2 linked regions of the Notamacropus eugenii genome follow. The protein of the gene in region 1 interacts with the protein of each later gene in a pairwise test. Links are inferred from orthologs where the notes say so. Each region holds a gene or a part of one and is shown on either strand. Other genes may lie near its edges.

Region 1 (7,304 bases):
AAAGGGAAGTCTTAAGGGACTTACTAAAGTTGAACTGTTTACATTCCTACATGGAAAGAAAATATTTGTAACTCTTGAAACTTTTCAGTATCTGGGTAGTGGGTGGGATTACACACACACGCACACACACACACACAGACAGAGAGCACAGAGTGAATTGAATAGGATGGGATCATATCTTTAAAAAATGAAATTAAGGGGTGAAAGAGAAATACATCAGGAGGAGAAAGGGAGCAATGGAATGGGGCAAAGTAACTCTCATAAAAGAGGCAAGCAAAAGACTTTTTAGTGGAGGGAAAAAGAAGGGAGGTAAGAGAAAAACATGTTTACTCTCATCACATTCCACTAAAGGAAGGAATAAAATGCACACTCATTTTGGTATGAAAACCTATCTTACAATACAGGAAAGTGGGGGAGAAGGGGATAAGCAGGCTGGGGGGGGAGGATGGAAGGGAGGGCAATGGGAGGAGGGAGCAATTTGAAGTCAACACTTTTGGGGAGGGACAGGATCAAAAGAGAGAATAGAAGCAACGGGGGGCAGGATAGGATGGAGGGAAATATAGTTAGTCTTACACAACACGACTATTATGGAAGTCATTTGCAAAACTACACAGATATGGCCTATATTGAATTGCTTGCCTTCCAAAGGGAAAGGGTGGGGAGGGAGGGATGAGGAGAAGTTGGAACTCAAAGTTTTAGGAACAACTGTCGAGTACTATTCTTGCTACTAGAAAATAAGAAATACAGGTAAAGGGGTATAGAAAGTTATCTGGCTCTACAGGACAAAAGAGAAGATGGGGACAAGAGAAGGGAGGGATGATGGAAGAGAGGGCAGATTGGTGATAGGGGCAATTAGAATGCTCAGCATTTTGGCATGGGGGGAGGGGACAAATGGGGAGAAAATTTGGAACCCAAAATTTTGTGAAAATGAATGTTAAAAGTTAAATAAATTAATTAAAAAAAACAAAACACTTCCCTAACCAATTCATTATCCCACTCACAATGGCAGCTTTTCATCCCTTCTCCAACTTCCCATGGTTTCCCCTCCTTACTCCCTCTCCATTCAGAACCTTGCCTCTCACTGAAAAAATAGACCATTAGCAAAGAGCTCTCTCTTCTCCCCTACACCCCTAGTCATCTCATGCCCCTCAGACATCTTCCTTCAGTCTTTCTTCCTCTTCTCCTCTTCTGAAATCTCTGCAGAGGCTTCCAATCTCATCATTCAGCCCAATGTCTTACTGACCAAATAGACTGGCTTTGTCTCAATCGTCATACTTCTCGACCTCTCTTCAGTCTTTGACATGACTGTTCCTTCCCTTCTCCTTCTCCAGGTTTTTGGGACATCACTCTCTTCTGGTTTCCCTCCTGTCTATCTGACCACCCCCTTCTCCTTTAATGGTTCTTCATCCAAGTACCCTCCTAGACCATGGATGTCCTAGGAGGGTCTGAACTAGACCCTTTTCTTTTCTCCCTCTAGATTATCTCCCTCAGTGCTCTCATCAACCCATAGATTCACTCATAAGGTCTAATGCAAATTACTTTCACATGTTTATTCAGTCCTAGCTTCTCTCTTAACCTCCAGATTCAATTCTCCAACTGCCCATCAGACATCTTGAACCAAATGTCCTATAGACACCTTAAACTCATTCAAAACTGAACTCATTATCTTTTCTCCAAAATCTTCCCCTCTTCCTGACTTCCCCGTTACTGTCAAGGGTACCATCCTCCTCCCAGTCACCCAGACTGGCAACCTAGGTGCCACCCCCAACAACTCATTCTCCCTCACCCCACCATATCCCCCATGTTGCCAAATTCTGTTCATTCTGACTTTTTTTTCTTTTAGCATCTCTGGCATACTCCTGTCTCCCCTCTGATACTGTCATTACCCTGGTACATGCCCTCATCACCTCCCACATGGACTATTGCAATGGCTATTGAGTGATTTTCCTACCTCAAGTCTTTCCCCACTACTATCTATTTTCCACTCTGCTATCAAGTGTATCTGTTATAAGTAAAGAGCTGATCACATCAGCCTTTTCTGGTGGTTCCATATTGTTATTTTTTTATCCTTCGTTTTTGAAGAGAACCATGACATCAGGGAGGTGATGCTAAGACTTGCAAGTGAATTGGATTTAAGCGAGTAAGGGCTGTGCAAAGGCACCCAGCCTCACTTTCTCCTCCAGCACTACCTAAGTCCAATGGCCAGATATAAATCAGGATGACTGGAGATGGCCCCCAGCTTCCATTTTCTCCAAATCAAAAGAAGGAAAATCCTGTTTTGTTTTCAAAGCTTTTCATAACCTGTCTTCCAGTCTACTTACACCTAGTGACCCCAGTATACTCTGGCATCCAATATGGTGGCTGGGTGAGTGGTGAGAAGAGGACATACACAAGAGAAAAGGACAAGCAATAGCAGGTGTCTGGATACGTGAGGTGAGACTGAGCAATCAAGGATGGCTCTGAGCCTGGGGACTGAAAGGAAGATGGTGGCCTTGGTAGTATGAGCAAAGTCTGGAAGAACAATGGGATGGTGGGGAAAGACAGAGAACCATCTGGGGCACATTGAGCTTGAGATGCCTATGAGACATCTGACTCACAAGGTAGCAATTAATAAAGGTTTGTTGATTCTGTCAAGGTTGGATTCATGAAGGGTCGACTGCACTGGATTGACTTACTTTTATACACAAAGGGTGTTCTCTCCACCTAGCCCAGTCTATGATTCCTCCCCATTTTAGTGGGGGGAGTAAAGAAAAAATTAATCCCATTTATTAGCCCTGTTTGACAGAAAAGGAAACTGAGGCTGGGAGAGAAGTGATGCCCCTAGTGTCACACAAGGATTGATCAGCCTTTCTATATGGCGCTAGGCTAGTCCCAGGTGGCCCATACCTAGCCTTCCAGGTCAGAAGAACCCACCTAACCTTCTAAAACTGAGAATTACCTCTGTGGCCAGATGAGACAACAGAGGAAGCCTCTGCTATCCTGGCTTCTCCTACTAGAGGGACATTTCAACAAGACACTGGTAAAATTCTTCCTGCATAAAACATGCTGCAGCCATCTGATGCTTGATAGGACCGGAAGGCAGGAGAGCCTGAACCTGGCTCTGGCACCAACTGACTGTGGGACCTCGGGCAGGTCCCTTCTCTCTGAGCCAGTTTTACCAGCTGCAAAATGAGATGGTGACTCAATGGCCCCCGAGTCCCTTCCAGCTCAGACATTCTTTGTTTATACCCTAGGCTTGTCAAGGGAGAGAGACAGCAAGAAGATATGGCAGAGTGCCTGGCCCACAGTGGTGCTTCATGTCTACTGAATAACTCATTGACTTTTTGACTGACTTTATAACTCCAGGGCCTCAGTTTTCTCAGCAGTCAAACAGGCACAACGACACCTGTAGTAGATTCCTTCTAGAATCACTGGGAGATCAAAGGAGGTGAAAACGATGTCAAGCACTTTGCAAACACCTCAGTCAGTGCAATGTGCTGGGGACTGTTTCTGTGTCCTTTGTACATGCCAGGGCACAGAGTAGGCACTTAATAAGTGCTTGCTGCCTTGATTCAGGTGCCCCCCCCTCCAGGCAACTAGGCAGAATAATGTTGTCCAAAGGTTGCTAGACTTGAGGATACTGAGGCTTGGAGGGATAGGATTGGAATCCAAATCCAGGCCAGAGGCCCTCAGACACCCTACAATCTCAGGGGCAGGGCTCTAAGGCCCATCTGGTCCAACTCCCCCATTTTGCAGGTGAGGAAACTGAGGCCCAGGAAGGAGCCAGTGTTGCTTAGGATCATAGGAGGAGGAAGGGGCCGAGGTAGGATTTGAACCCAGATCCTAAGACTCAGAAACCAACGCTCTTTGTACTGGGCAGGCCACCTGAAGTCCTGGAAACTGACTAGTTTAGGGACAGGAGGAAAGCCCCCAGCATAAGCCCCGCCCCCAGAGCTCCGGCCCCGCCCCTCTCGTGTTCTAACCCCGCCCTCGCCAGTCGGGTCCCCTAACGCTTCTAACGGCGGCCCGTTGGCGCACGCCCCACGAGCTTCCCCCCACCCCCAAGCCCTCGAGAGGGAGGGAGGGAGGGGAGAGGAGGGGGACTTTTCAGGAGCTGGGGGAGGGGAGAGGGAGTGGAGGACAGAGCAGGGAGTGAGTGCGTGCTCACCTTCTCCGAGCGTTCTGCTCACGTGACCGCCCCTCCCCTCCGCCCCGCCTCCGCTCCAGGCCCCGCCCCCTCACGTCACGTGGCTCTCCTCACGCCAGTGACAAGCGGACGGCGGCCGGGAGGCGGAAGTGGCGGGCGTTCTCGGTCGCTCGTTTCCCGTCGGGCTTCGGAGGTGAAGCGAGCGCCCGAGGGAGCGCGGGGCCGGCCGTGTCAGCCGCGGCATCTGGGGCCCCGGCAGCCCGCCAGGCAGTCCGCCCGCCCGTGCGGCGGTGGCGGCGGCGGCCTTCCCTGACCAGTCCGGCGGCGAGCGCCTCTGCCCTTCCCCAACCGTCCGGGAAGGGGCCCGCATCGTCGCCCCCGACCCGGCCCGTCCCGTCCCCGCCTGGGCCCATCGAGGCCCGCGCCGGGCTGCGCCTGCCCGCCCTATGAGTGTGTCACTGGTTGTGATCCGACTGGAGCTCGCGGACCACTCGCCCCTGCCCGCCGGCTTCGGCTTCAGCGCGGCCGCCGGTGAGTGCCCACTGCCCGGACCGGGAGCGGCGCCGCCGGGGCCCTGCCCTCCAGGGGGAGGGGGGCTGGTGGGGGAGGGGCTGCCCCCTCCCCAGCGTCTCGGGTGGGTCTCCCTGCCCCTCCCCCCCAAGCGCGTTCGCTCTAGGCTCCTCCCACAAACCTCCCCTCCTCCTCTCTCCTCCCCTCCCAAAGAGGACCTGCCCCAAGTGCTAGACCCCCTCCCTCTTCTGAGGCGCAGCGGCCGCTGTGTGACCCCCCCAAGACCTCCACAATGGGGGGTACAACACCCCAGCTGCCCACTGGTCAGTAGTGCTTTCCAAGGGCGAGGAGCGCCCAGCCCCCCGCTGTGGGACGTTCACGTCGGGCTAGGCGTGGGGCCAGGTAGTAAACACTCAGGGCTCCTACGTGCCAGTCGCTGCGCTGGGGATGCCCCTGCCCTCCAGGAGCTCTCAGCTTTAAGGGAGGAGGCAGCGTGCAACAGGTGTATACAAAGCAAGCTCCAAGAGGGGCTGGGTGTGGGAGATCCCACGTAAAGTCCAAGAGAGATTTCCAAGGGGACTTCTGTCGTGAATGATGTAAGCCCTGCTCGCATCAAACTCCATTGTAGAACCTCCTGAATGAGACCCGTAAGCCCAGAAGGTTGGCACAGAAAAACCGAGTGGAGGAAGGGTACTGGCGCTCTAGCCTGACATGCCTCTGAGAGGGCACCTTTAGTGCTTCTTTGTCAGTTCGGGTCCTTTGGACAGACTTGGCAAGTGTACGTTGAGAGGAACCGGGAAAAGAGCAGGATGGAATACATTTGGGAAATGCCAAGGTTCTTCTAAATGACCCCAAGTTGTTCCTTGAAACAAAGGCCACATGTTTGTAATACCAGTATTGTGCTGGTGTTATGGCCAAGAATTGTGAATGGTAGTCTCCGACGGATTAGGGTAGGGGAGAGAGCCTTGGGTGTTTGTGAGCAGGCTGCAGCCTTTGACAAAGAAGGAATTAGGAACAACTGCAGTCATTTTTTAAAAAGATTCTGAAGATGGATAGTGTATGCTCCCCTGATGTTTTTGAAATGTCGAGTAGTCAAGAGGGGCCTCCAGTACTTTGGGAGACCTCTTGCAGCCCACTTAGGGAAGGGTCTGAGTAGGAGTTGCACTCCTAGGCAGGGGCAAATTGTGATCGTCATCCCTTCAGTGTCTTCATTTCTGCAACAAGGTAGCGTAAAATCACAGAAGGAACTTGGGCGAGGAGTCGGGTTCTGGTTCAGAGTTCTTTCCTTTCCCTGCTGAATGCCATGAGGGTAAGATTCTTAATCTCTCTGAGCCTCAGTTGTCTTCATGTGAAATAAAGTTGTGTTACATGATATTGAAGGTCTCTTCCAATTCTTTGATTCTGTAATGGAGAATGGTAACACATATTGTACAGGATTATTTTGAGGATCAAGCGAGCTAATCTATATGATAGTGCTTTGAAAACTGTAACCACATTATTTTAGGACAGAATATTTTTATGGTGCTTAACATCACAAATTCAAACCTTGGCCTTAGTAATTAAAAAAAAAACTTTACAAATCTGTCAGTTGACATGTTAACTTGGGGCTCAATATAACTTCCTTCAGGACTCTCTTTGTGGCTGGTTTCTTCCAGTTCATGTCATTAAAACAGACCTACAGATGTTTATAGGTAATTAAATTCTCATCCCTTCCTCTTCTCCCTCTCCCGCTTTGTCCCAGGCTGGTAAAGAAAATGAAAAGGTAGTTTCCTGACTTCTCTAATAATATAGAAGCTACACAGTGACTGTGCTATTCCTCAGATCTGCTTGTTTTTTTATTGGCGTGAGGAGGAGTTTGTTTTGCCATCTGGACAGTCACTATGAGACACTAATTAGTTATGTTTTACTTAGTTAGGGAGATGTCTGATGAAGAAATCAAAGAAAAGACACTAGCTTCAGCTAAGGTCCATTTAGAAGGAAAGGCGCCAGTGGAGAAGGCAGCAATTATACACCAACATCTTGGCCGGCGAGAAATGACAGATATGATCATTGAAACCATAAAATCTAACCCAAGTAAGTTTTTGAAATGTCTTGAATCACTTATTAGATTGTTTTGTGCTTGTGGATGATTATTTCATGCCTGTTCAGTAAACCTATTATTTCAGTCTCTTAGATCGTAATTTAATGTTAATTCAAGTACTTTTTAAATGAATCCTAACAAATTAGGTTTGCCTTTATTGACAGTAGTAGAGGAACTACCTCATAACTGAATCACAAATCAGTGGTCAGTCCAAATAAATCTGTTGTCCATTTCCATTGTGTTGCTGACATGCTTTGTTCAGAGGAATTGGATCAGTATAGAAACTCAAATGGCCAAAACTGGTAGATCTACTTTTCAAACATGTTAGCTTTGAGCATACGTATAAAATATCTGTTTACAAGCGTACCCTGATAAGTATAAAGTCCTTGGAAGTTATCAAAAGTGTTGATTTCATTTTTTGAGGGGCAAATAGAAATTACATTTTGAAGTTAGGGTTCATTTTTTGCATACATATATTTGATTATTTGGGGAATTTGTTCAAATTGTAGTATGTTTTCTTTGCCAGATATGATCATTGAAACCACAAAATCTAACTAAGGCATGTTTTCTGAAAGGCTGAAAAATCTT
Region 2 (7,823 bases), on another chromosome or scaffold:
ACTTAACATCTTTTTTATCAATGACCTGGAAAAGGAAGAGAAGGTATGTTTATCAAATTTGCAGATGTCAGGAAACTGGAATGGAATGCTAAAACACTGGATGACAGAGTCAGAATCCAAAAACATTTTTTTTATGCTTACAACCATTTATTGAACATATTAACAACACATCTTGAATTAGGATTTGGCTAAGTTTCACAATGGAGAAGCTAATGAAATACTCAACATAACCCGCCCCCCCCCCCCCCCCTGCAGTCCCTATGAACCTATGCAGGGCTTGAACCCACCTGCACAATTCCAAAAACATTTTGACAGGTGAGAATGACTGATCAAATCTAATAAGATGAAATTTACTTTCTTAGCTCTCATCAGTGTTCCTTCTAATAGGGAAACAAACTGCAACTTCGTCCATATCTTCTCTCCTCTTGCGCAATTCTTATCCATAAATCCTCTTCAGAGAATCTACCCAAATGAGTTCTTAACCTTTTTTATGTCATGGACCACTTTGATAAGATGGTGAAGCCTATGAACAACTTCTCAGAATAATATTTTTTAAATGCACAAAATAAAACACATAGAATTGAAAAGGGAAGCAAATGTATTGAAATATTTATCAAAACATCTTTTAAAAAATAAATCAAGTTCACAGATCCTAGGTGAATAACCCTTGATGAGTATTTTATTAGTTCATGGGTATTAGCATAACTTGAGTTCTCATTATTCCCTATGTGCCCTCCTTTTACAGCTAATCTTCTATTATTTATTTTTTTGCCATTTGTACCTAAGTCAGTGTCGATAATATTCTGCAGGGAGACACAGAATACCATCCCCTTTAACTGCTTTGCAGAGTTAAGGGGTCCATGAGTACGAGCCAGGCCATGTGTTAGTTTTTTCTACAAATTTACTAAGAACAGCATGGAGTAGCTGCTAAAAAAAATAATTTATACACAATTCTAGATGAGTACTCAAAACAAGGAAGGTGATAATCTAACCAACTCAATCCTAACTGGGTCACATTTGAAATAGTTTACTTATTCCTGGGAACCACAATTTAAGAGTGACGCTGAAAAATAGGGTGAGAAGCCCAAGAGCTATCTTTAAATACTAGAAACCACACCACTATCTTTGCCAAAGAAAACCCAAAATGGGGTCCTGAAGAACAACAACAACAAAAATTGTTTCTATCTTCACATCTTTTCTCAACTCAATTAATCAAACATTCATTAAGCATCTATTATGTGGCAGACACTGGCTGGGATACAAAAAAGAAGTAAAGGTCAGGCCCTGCCCTCAAGCTTTCAAATCTAACTCACCACAACCACTCTAGTTAAATCTTCACCACCTCTTCAGGGACCTGTTAGCTTCTTAATTCAATCAATCAATCAACATTTATAAAGTGCCAGCAGACCCTGTGCTAAGCCTTGGGAATACCAAAAGAGGCAAATGACAGTCTGCCTTCAATGATCTTACAATCTTATGGGGGAGACCACACCCAAACAAATAACGAACAAAGCAAGCTATATACAGGATAAATAGGAAATAATTAACAGAGGAAAGGCACCAGAATTAAGAGGAGTTAGGACAGCCTTCCTATAAAAGATGGGATTTTATGTATAACCTACTATGGAATTGCTTGCCTTGGGAGTGGGGGAAGACGGAGAAGGGGAGAGTTTGGAACTCAAGATTTTGAAAACAAATGTTAAAATACTTGTTTTTTACGTGTAACTGGGGAAAAAGTAAATACTAAATACCGCCCCCCCAAAAAAGATGGAATTTGAGTGGGGATTGAAAGGAAGCCAGGGAAGTCTGTAGACAGAGTAGAGGGAAAGCGTTCCAGGCACGGGGGGCAGCCGGAGAAAATGGAGTGTCTCCAAGTCTCAGTTCTTCTCTCTGCCTCCTTTTCCCAATGGCTCCTTATTGCCTCTAGAACCAAATACAAACTCTCATGTTTATCACTGACGGATCTTCCTGCCTTCCCAGGGCTTGGCACAAGGGCTGGCACAGCGCAGGCCCGTAATAAAGGCGTACTGTCTTACTACACAGAACTGTCCTCGCCCGGGCACTGCGCTGGTACAGCTTTCAGCAGTGTCCGATTCCGTCGCCCCATCTCGGGGTTCTCCGGGCAGAGATCCTGGCGCGGGGGCCATTTCCTCCTCCAGCTCGTTTTACGGATGAGAACACGGAGACACCGGTTAAGGGACCTGCCCAGGCTGACCCGGCCAGGAATGTCTGAGGACTGCTTTGGACTCACGAAGGCGAGCGCCGCGGGCTCCAGGCCTGGGGCTCTATCTACCCACTTCGCCACCCAGCCGCGAGCGCCTGGCACATAGGAGGTGCTTAATAACAGCGTGTAGACTTGGTCTAGATCCTCCAAGCCTGGAATGCTCCCCTTCCTTCCTTGCACCTCGCATTATTATAGCCTTTAAAGTCCAGATCTCCTTCCCCAGAAAACAAGCCCATGTTTATTTTGAAAAAGAAGCTCCGCGCGTCCTCTGAGCGGCACTGGCAGCGGCTCCTGCAGCATGCCAGCTTCTTAAGGGCAGGGTGCGCCTCCTCTCCCCGTCCCGGTCGCCCACGCCAGCGCAGGGCACTCAGCAGGCCCCACCACTTCTCCGACCCTTCCCCCCTCAGGGCCCCTCCCCCATCGAGAGGCGCCTCCTGTCCCCCACAACGCGGGGCGGCCCCCAAAGCTCCGCTCTCCCTCGCCGCCCCCTCCCCTCTCAGGTTCTTTTCTCTCCGCTCGCCCCACCCCGCATTCGCCGCCCTTCGGCAGCTCCCTCACACCGTCCTCCCTCCGCTTCCGCGACACCTCCTCTCCATTTCCTCATTCCGACACTAGGGTGCATCCTCGACTCCCCTCCTGGTCTTACCTGGCCGCGCACGCGCGCGTCCCTCCTAGGGGCTACAGCTCCCAGGACCCGCTGAAGGTCCCACTTTCAGGACTCACTCCGTCAGCCACTTCCCCACCCCCATCTCCTAGTAGCTGCTGGGGCAGCCTCCGGCGCCGCCGCCGCCGCCCAAGCCCACAGTTTGAACTGCAGCGCCGCCCCCTCGTGCTGAGTCCTCATTGGTCAAACCAAGGAGACATCATGGTACACATGCGCACTCTCACAGCCCCGGCAGGGCGGGAGAAAGAAGGAAGGTTGCTTGGGAGAAGGGAGCCTGGAGCAGGACGGGGGGAGCATCGAGTCTCTATCTCCTCAGGCCGGAGGGAAGCTTGAACTACAAATCCCAGTATTCCTCGCGGCTCCCTAAGGGATTGGGCAGGGGCCCGGGTCAGAGCGGGAAATGGAGAAGGGGTGATAAAAGGTAGAGGTCGGGGCAGAGAATTTAGGAGCGACGATTGTAGGGACTGAGGAACTTTAGAAGGCCAGACTGTGTTGAAGTTTCGGTTTCTGACCTTGAAAACCGCAAACTACAAGTCCCAGGATTCTGTGCAGCTAAGTAAAACCTTCTTCCCGTTGGCCACGGTTAGGGGCGGGGAGGGCTGTAGGTCCCAGCATGCCCCGGGGCGAGGCGTACAGAGGTTGGGAGGCTGTGATGATGATGGTTACCATGGAGTTGGGCTAAGCGTGCCGCTGTCTACGGGAAGGCAAAGGCTGAAGAAAACGGAGCTGGTGAGCTTGGGCAGCAGCTGGTGAGCGCACTGGGCAAGGACTGAGGCGGATACAGGTGTCATGCCAAGCATAGGTAGCCCTATTACAAGGGCCTGAGGTGGCCCCAAAGCAGAGACAGCTAAGCTGTAAGAACCTGAGGTAGTCCGGGGAGAAGGTAGCTTGGGAACCCCATTTATTATTCACTCAGCAGACATGAAGTGCCTACTATATTCCAGGCACTGGGATAAGCACTTTGTTCAAAGACAAAACGAAAAAGTTCTAGCAGTCAAAGAGAATACGTTCTTTTTCGGAGAAACTCCAGTAACAGATAAGTAAAATGGGAAATAATTGGGGAGGGGGCATGGCAAGTCAGGGGCGGTAAGGTCAATTGGGGAGTGATCGAGATTGGCCTAGTGAAGAGGTATTTGAATTTTAACCTTGAACTAAGGGACTAAAAAGGTGAAAAAAAAAATGTATACCAGGCATGGGGGTGAGGTGGAGCAGGGACAGCTTGAGTAAAGGCACAAAGGCTAGTTTGGCTGGAGGGCAAGGTGTCTGAAAGGAGTAAGTAATAAGCCTGGGAAAGTAGGCTGGAGCCAGTTTTTGAAGGGCTTTAAATATCAAACAAAAGTTTGTATTTTAACTTAGTGACAATTTGGGAGCATCTGGAGCAGAGGAGTGACCTATGCTTTAGGAATATCAGTTTGGCAACTCTGTGGAAGATGGAATGGAGAGGCCAGAGACTGGAGGCAGGGAGACCAATTAGGGACTTTTGAGGTACTTGCTAGGCATGACAGAGGGTGGGTACTCCCCTCCCCATTTCTGTAGCCTAAGAGTTTCAAATTCCTAGAAGCAGACTTTGGCACCATACCATTGGGATGGTGAAGAGGAGACCACCACCAAAATGGGGGAAAGGGTGCTTTCAATCTGAGAATATGGGGGTTCTGACAGAGGCAAGACAGCCAGCCCAGATGGAGGCTATTTCTTGATTTTCTCCCCTTTTCGGTAAGACAGCTCAGACATTAATAGCCACCTAATATATCAAGTAACTAGAAATTTTGGAACTGGGTAAGCAACTTCCTACACCCTTTCCACTTTCATTTACTCTATGAAAGCCCAATTAAATCATTAATGGTATTCCCTTTATCCTGTTTCCTTTAATACTCTATCTTCATGTGCCCATGGAAACATAGATGTCTCCAGAAGACACAGAATCACTACTTCTTGGGTGCTGTTTGCTCCTCTCATTTCTCCTAATAGGCTTGGACAGAAGAAAAAATATATTCCTGGTTCCCCAGTGACACTTCTAAACCCTCCATCTGCAGTTATTACTCAGCAAATACTCCCTCTTTTTAGGCCCATTGCATTCTTCTGAATGGTAGTTAACTGGCATAGTGAATAGAATGCTAGGCTTGGAGTTAGGAAAACTTGAACTTAAATCCTGTCTCAAACAGAGTACCTTTGTGGTGCTAAGTAAGTCATGTAACATCGTTCAGCATTTGTTTCATCTGTAAAGTGGGCTTAAGACCTATTTTATATCTGTGGTGTTCATCTTTTGGTATGATAGTCACCCTCTCACATTCAGTACTTGGCTCAGTCTTTCCCTCCTCCATCCCAAACCCTCCCTGAATACTTGGGGATTTCAATTTCTACATTGAGGTCCCCTCAAACACCCTGGTCTCCCAACCTATCAACCTTAAGTCACATGACCTAGGTCATCCTTATGCCAAAGCTATCCATAGGGATACTGAATCTTTGATCATAACCCTTGGTACTCTTGCATCATTCCTAAAACTGTCCTTCATCCTCAGCATACCCTTCAGTCCCTCCATCCTTTGTTGTTCTGGTACTAGAGTTGACCGCTTCAATGGCATACTAATGTGTATGTACCCTTGACTCTTTTTACCCTTCATGATCGTGCCAGAGGCCTGTGTTACCCTCACCCTCCTTATCTTCTAATTCTCTTCCAACAGCCCAAAGAGGAAGGCACTCAAAATGACTGCTGATTCAACCCCATTGTTATCTGATCTCAGCTGGGCCCTCAAAGCTGCAGTCTTTTTATTCTGATTCTCAAGATTATTTGAAGTGATTCATCTTTGTTCAAATTCCTATGTACTACACCCTTTCCTCCCCTCTCAGAAGACTTCAATTCCTACCTTAGTGAGAAAAAAAGCAAAGTTATCCATCTATAGTAAGTTCTCCTGTCCTATGATATACCTTAAAATTCCTCCATATCATTCTCCATTCTTTCCTTTTACTCCCCTATCTGGAATACACTTCCTTGGAGAAATCAGTTTTAGTTGAGTATTGAATTTGGAGGCCCACCTATTCTTATTAGAATATTTTATTATTACTATATTAGAATATTACCATATTCTTTCTCCTTTAAGGAAAAGGTCAGTGCCATTTCTTTGAAACGAACACTCTTGCCAATTTCAGATTTTCCTACAGCACTCCATCTTGTATTTGCCCTTATCCCATTTTTGTTCTTATTTGTGTACATACCTGAGCCTTCCCAATTTTATTAGACTTTAAGGTCTCTGACAGTAAGCACTGCCTATTTAAAAATTTGTGTCCCCAGTGCCCCAGTCTCTGATAAAAAGGTGGTGTTTCTTCCCAAGGCTAACTTCTCCATTTGTGCTCTTGATCCCATCCGCTCATCTTCTCTTCCATCATTCTCTGGCTCTTTCACTGCTGCCTGCATCACCCATTATGTCATTGGTCATCTTCAAATACAAAGGACAAACAGCAACAAATGTCACCAAGCCTCCCCCATCCTTAAAAATCTTTCACCTGCCCCATATATTGTTGTTTGTCCTTCCATTTTTGAAGAGGACCAGTGAAGTCACGGGTTGTGTCTCGACTTGTGTATGAAATTCAATTTAAGTGAGGTAGAGTTGCACAGTCATCAGCCTCACACTCCCTTCCTGAGTCACAAAGTCCAGTGGCAGGACAAAAGTCAAGGTGACTGGCCATGGCACAGAATGCAGCATGTGACTTTTGCTTCACAGCACCTGCTTTAGCTACCATCCTGGCCATTGGAATGAACTGTTCTCATCTGCCCATTCTGCTAGGGAAAGTCTTCACGTGCTTGGGGTAGACATTCCCCTAGCCACCAACAGGTTGAAGATCTGTCAGTTACCCTCAGCTTGTTTTAGTCTCTCTGCTGATTGGTTTTACTGGGGTGTGGTTACTGCACATGCTGCAGCTTCCAGGAGCCACAGGTGAAAACTGGATGAATCAAGTGGATATCAAAGATGGATGAGCAGCCCCTGAAAAGTGGCTCAAGAAGCCTTCACACCAGAGGTGCTAGTCCTCCTGAACACCCCATACAATAACCCACCGTCCCTCACCCCTTCACGCAAATATATTACATAAAGCTAGACAAAGAGGGATTTCTCTTTCAGAGCTATGCTATACTTGTTGCCTCTACTTCCTACACCAGCACTTGCCCTGAAACTCCACTATTGGTCTAAAACTGTTTCCTCGCAGATGACACACAATCCTTAGCTACTAAATCTGATACCCTTTTCTACAATCATATTCTTGACCTTTCTGGAACTTTCAACACTATCACTTGCTCCAAGATAGTCTTTTAGTTTGCTTGACATTGCTTTCTTCTGGTTCTAACAGCACCTTCTCTGGTTCTTATGCTATATCATTGATTAACTGAATAAATTTAAGTAGCTACTATTGCCATTCTATCCCAATATGGACAATTTTGATGGGAGAGGCTCTGGCAGCTGGAGGAATTAGCAAAAGCCTCAGAGGAATGGCATTTGAAGTGACCTTTAAGGGAAGCTAGGGATTTTAAGAGGTAGAGGTGAGCTTGGAGAACAGCTTGAGCAAAATCAGAGGCCAAAGGCCAAAGGATCACAGAGCTGGATGTGACTATAGAAGCTATCTCCTCCAACCCCTTCAATTTATAAATGAGGTTCATACAGGATAACGCAACCAATATATGTCAGAGGCAGGACTCAAACCCAAGGGATTAATGTACACTGAGCCTATAAAAGTAGAATGAAGCCAGATTAGGACTTTACACATCAAATAGAAGTTTGCATTTTATCCTAGAACCAATGACGACACCAAAACATAGTGGATAGTGGCCTCAAAGCCAAAAAACTTGGGTTTGAGCGCAAATTCCAACACATATTGGTTTATTTGAGCCTGGACAACTCACTTAAACTTTTGGTGTTGTAAGGAGCTAAGACTGTGGGTTGCATT

The links. The genes of interacting proteins can lie anywhere in the genome.
Region 2: the proteins of BRAP (region 1) and NUMA1 interact in a two-hybrid assay, tested with the Homo sapiens proteins (2 studies listed by BioGRID and IntAct). The link is inferred for Notamacropus eugenii from reciprocal best matches to the Homo sapiens genes BRAP and NUMA1.

The regions. Positions count from the first base shown.
Region 1 is NC_092875.1:34,534,860-34,542,163, forward strand, and holds the start of BRAP (BRCA1-associated protein), read left to right. Parts: upstream 1-4,298; 5' UTR 4,299-4,572; coding exon 4,573-4,657; coding exon of another isoform or gene 4,658-4,661; intron 4,662-6,547; coding exon 6,548-6,709; intron 6,710-7,304. UniProt on the Homo sapiens protein: Negatively regulates MAP kinase activation by limiting the formation of Raf/MEK complexes probably by inactivation of the KSR1 scaffold protein.
Region 2 is NC_092876.1:96,760,684-96,768,506, forward strand, and holds the start of NUMA1 (nuclear mitotic apparatus protein 1), read right to left. Parts: upstream 3,005-7,823; 5' UTR 2,871-3,004; intron 1-2,870. UniProt on the Homo sapiens protein: Microtubule (MT)-binding protein that plays a role in the formation and maintenance of the spindle poles and the alignement and the segregation of chromosomes during mitotic cell division.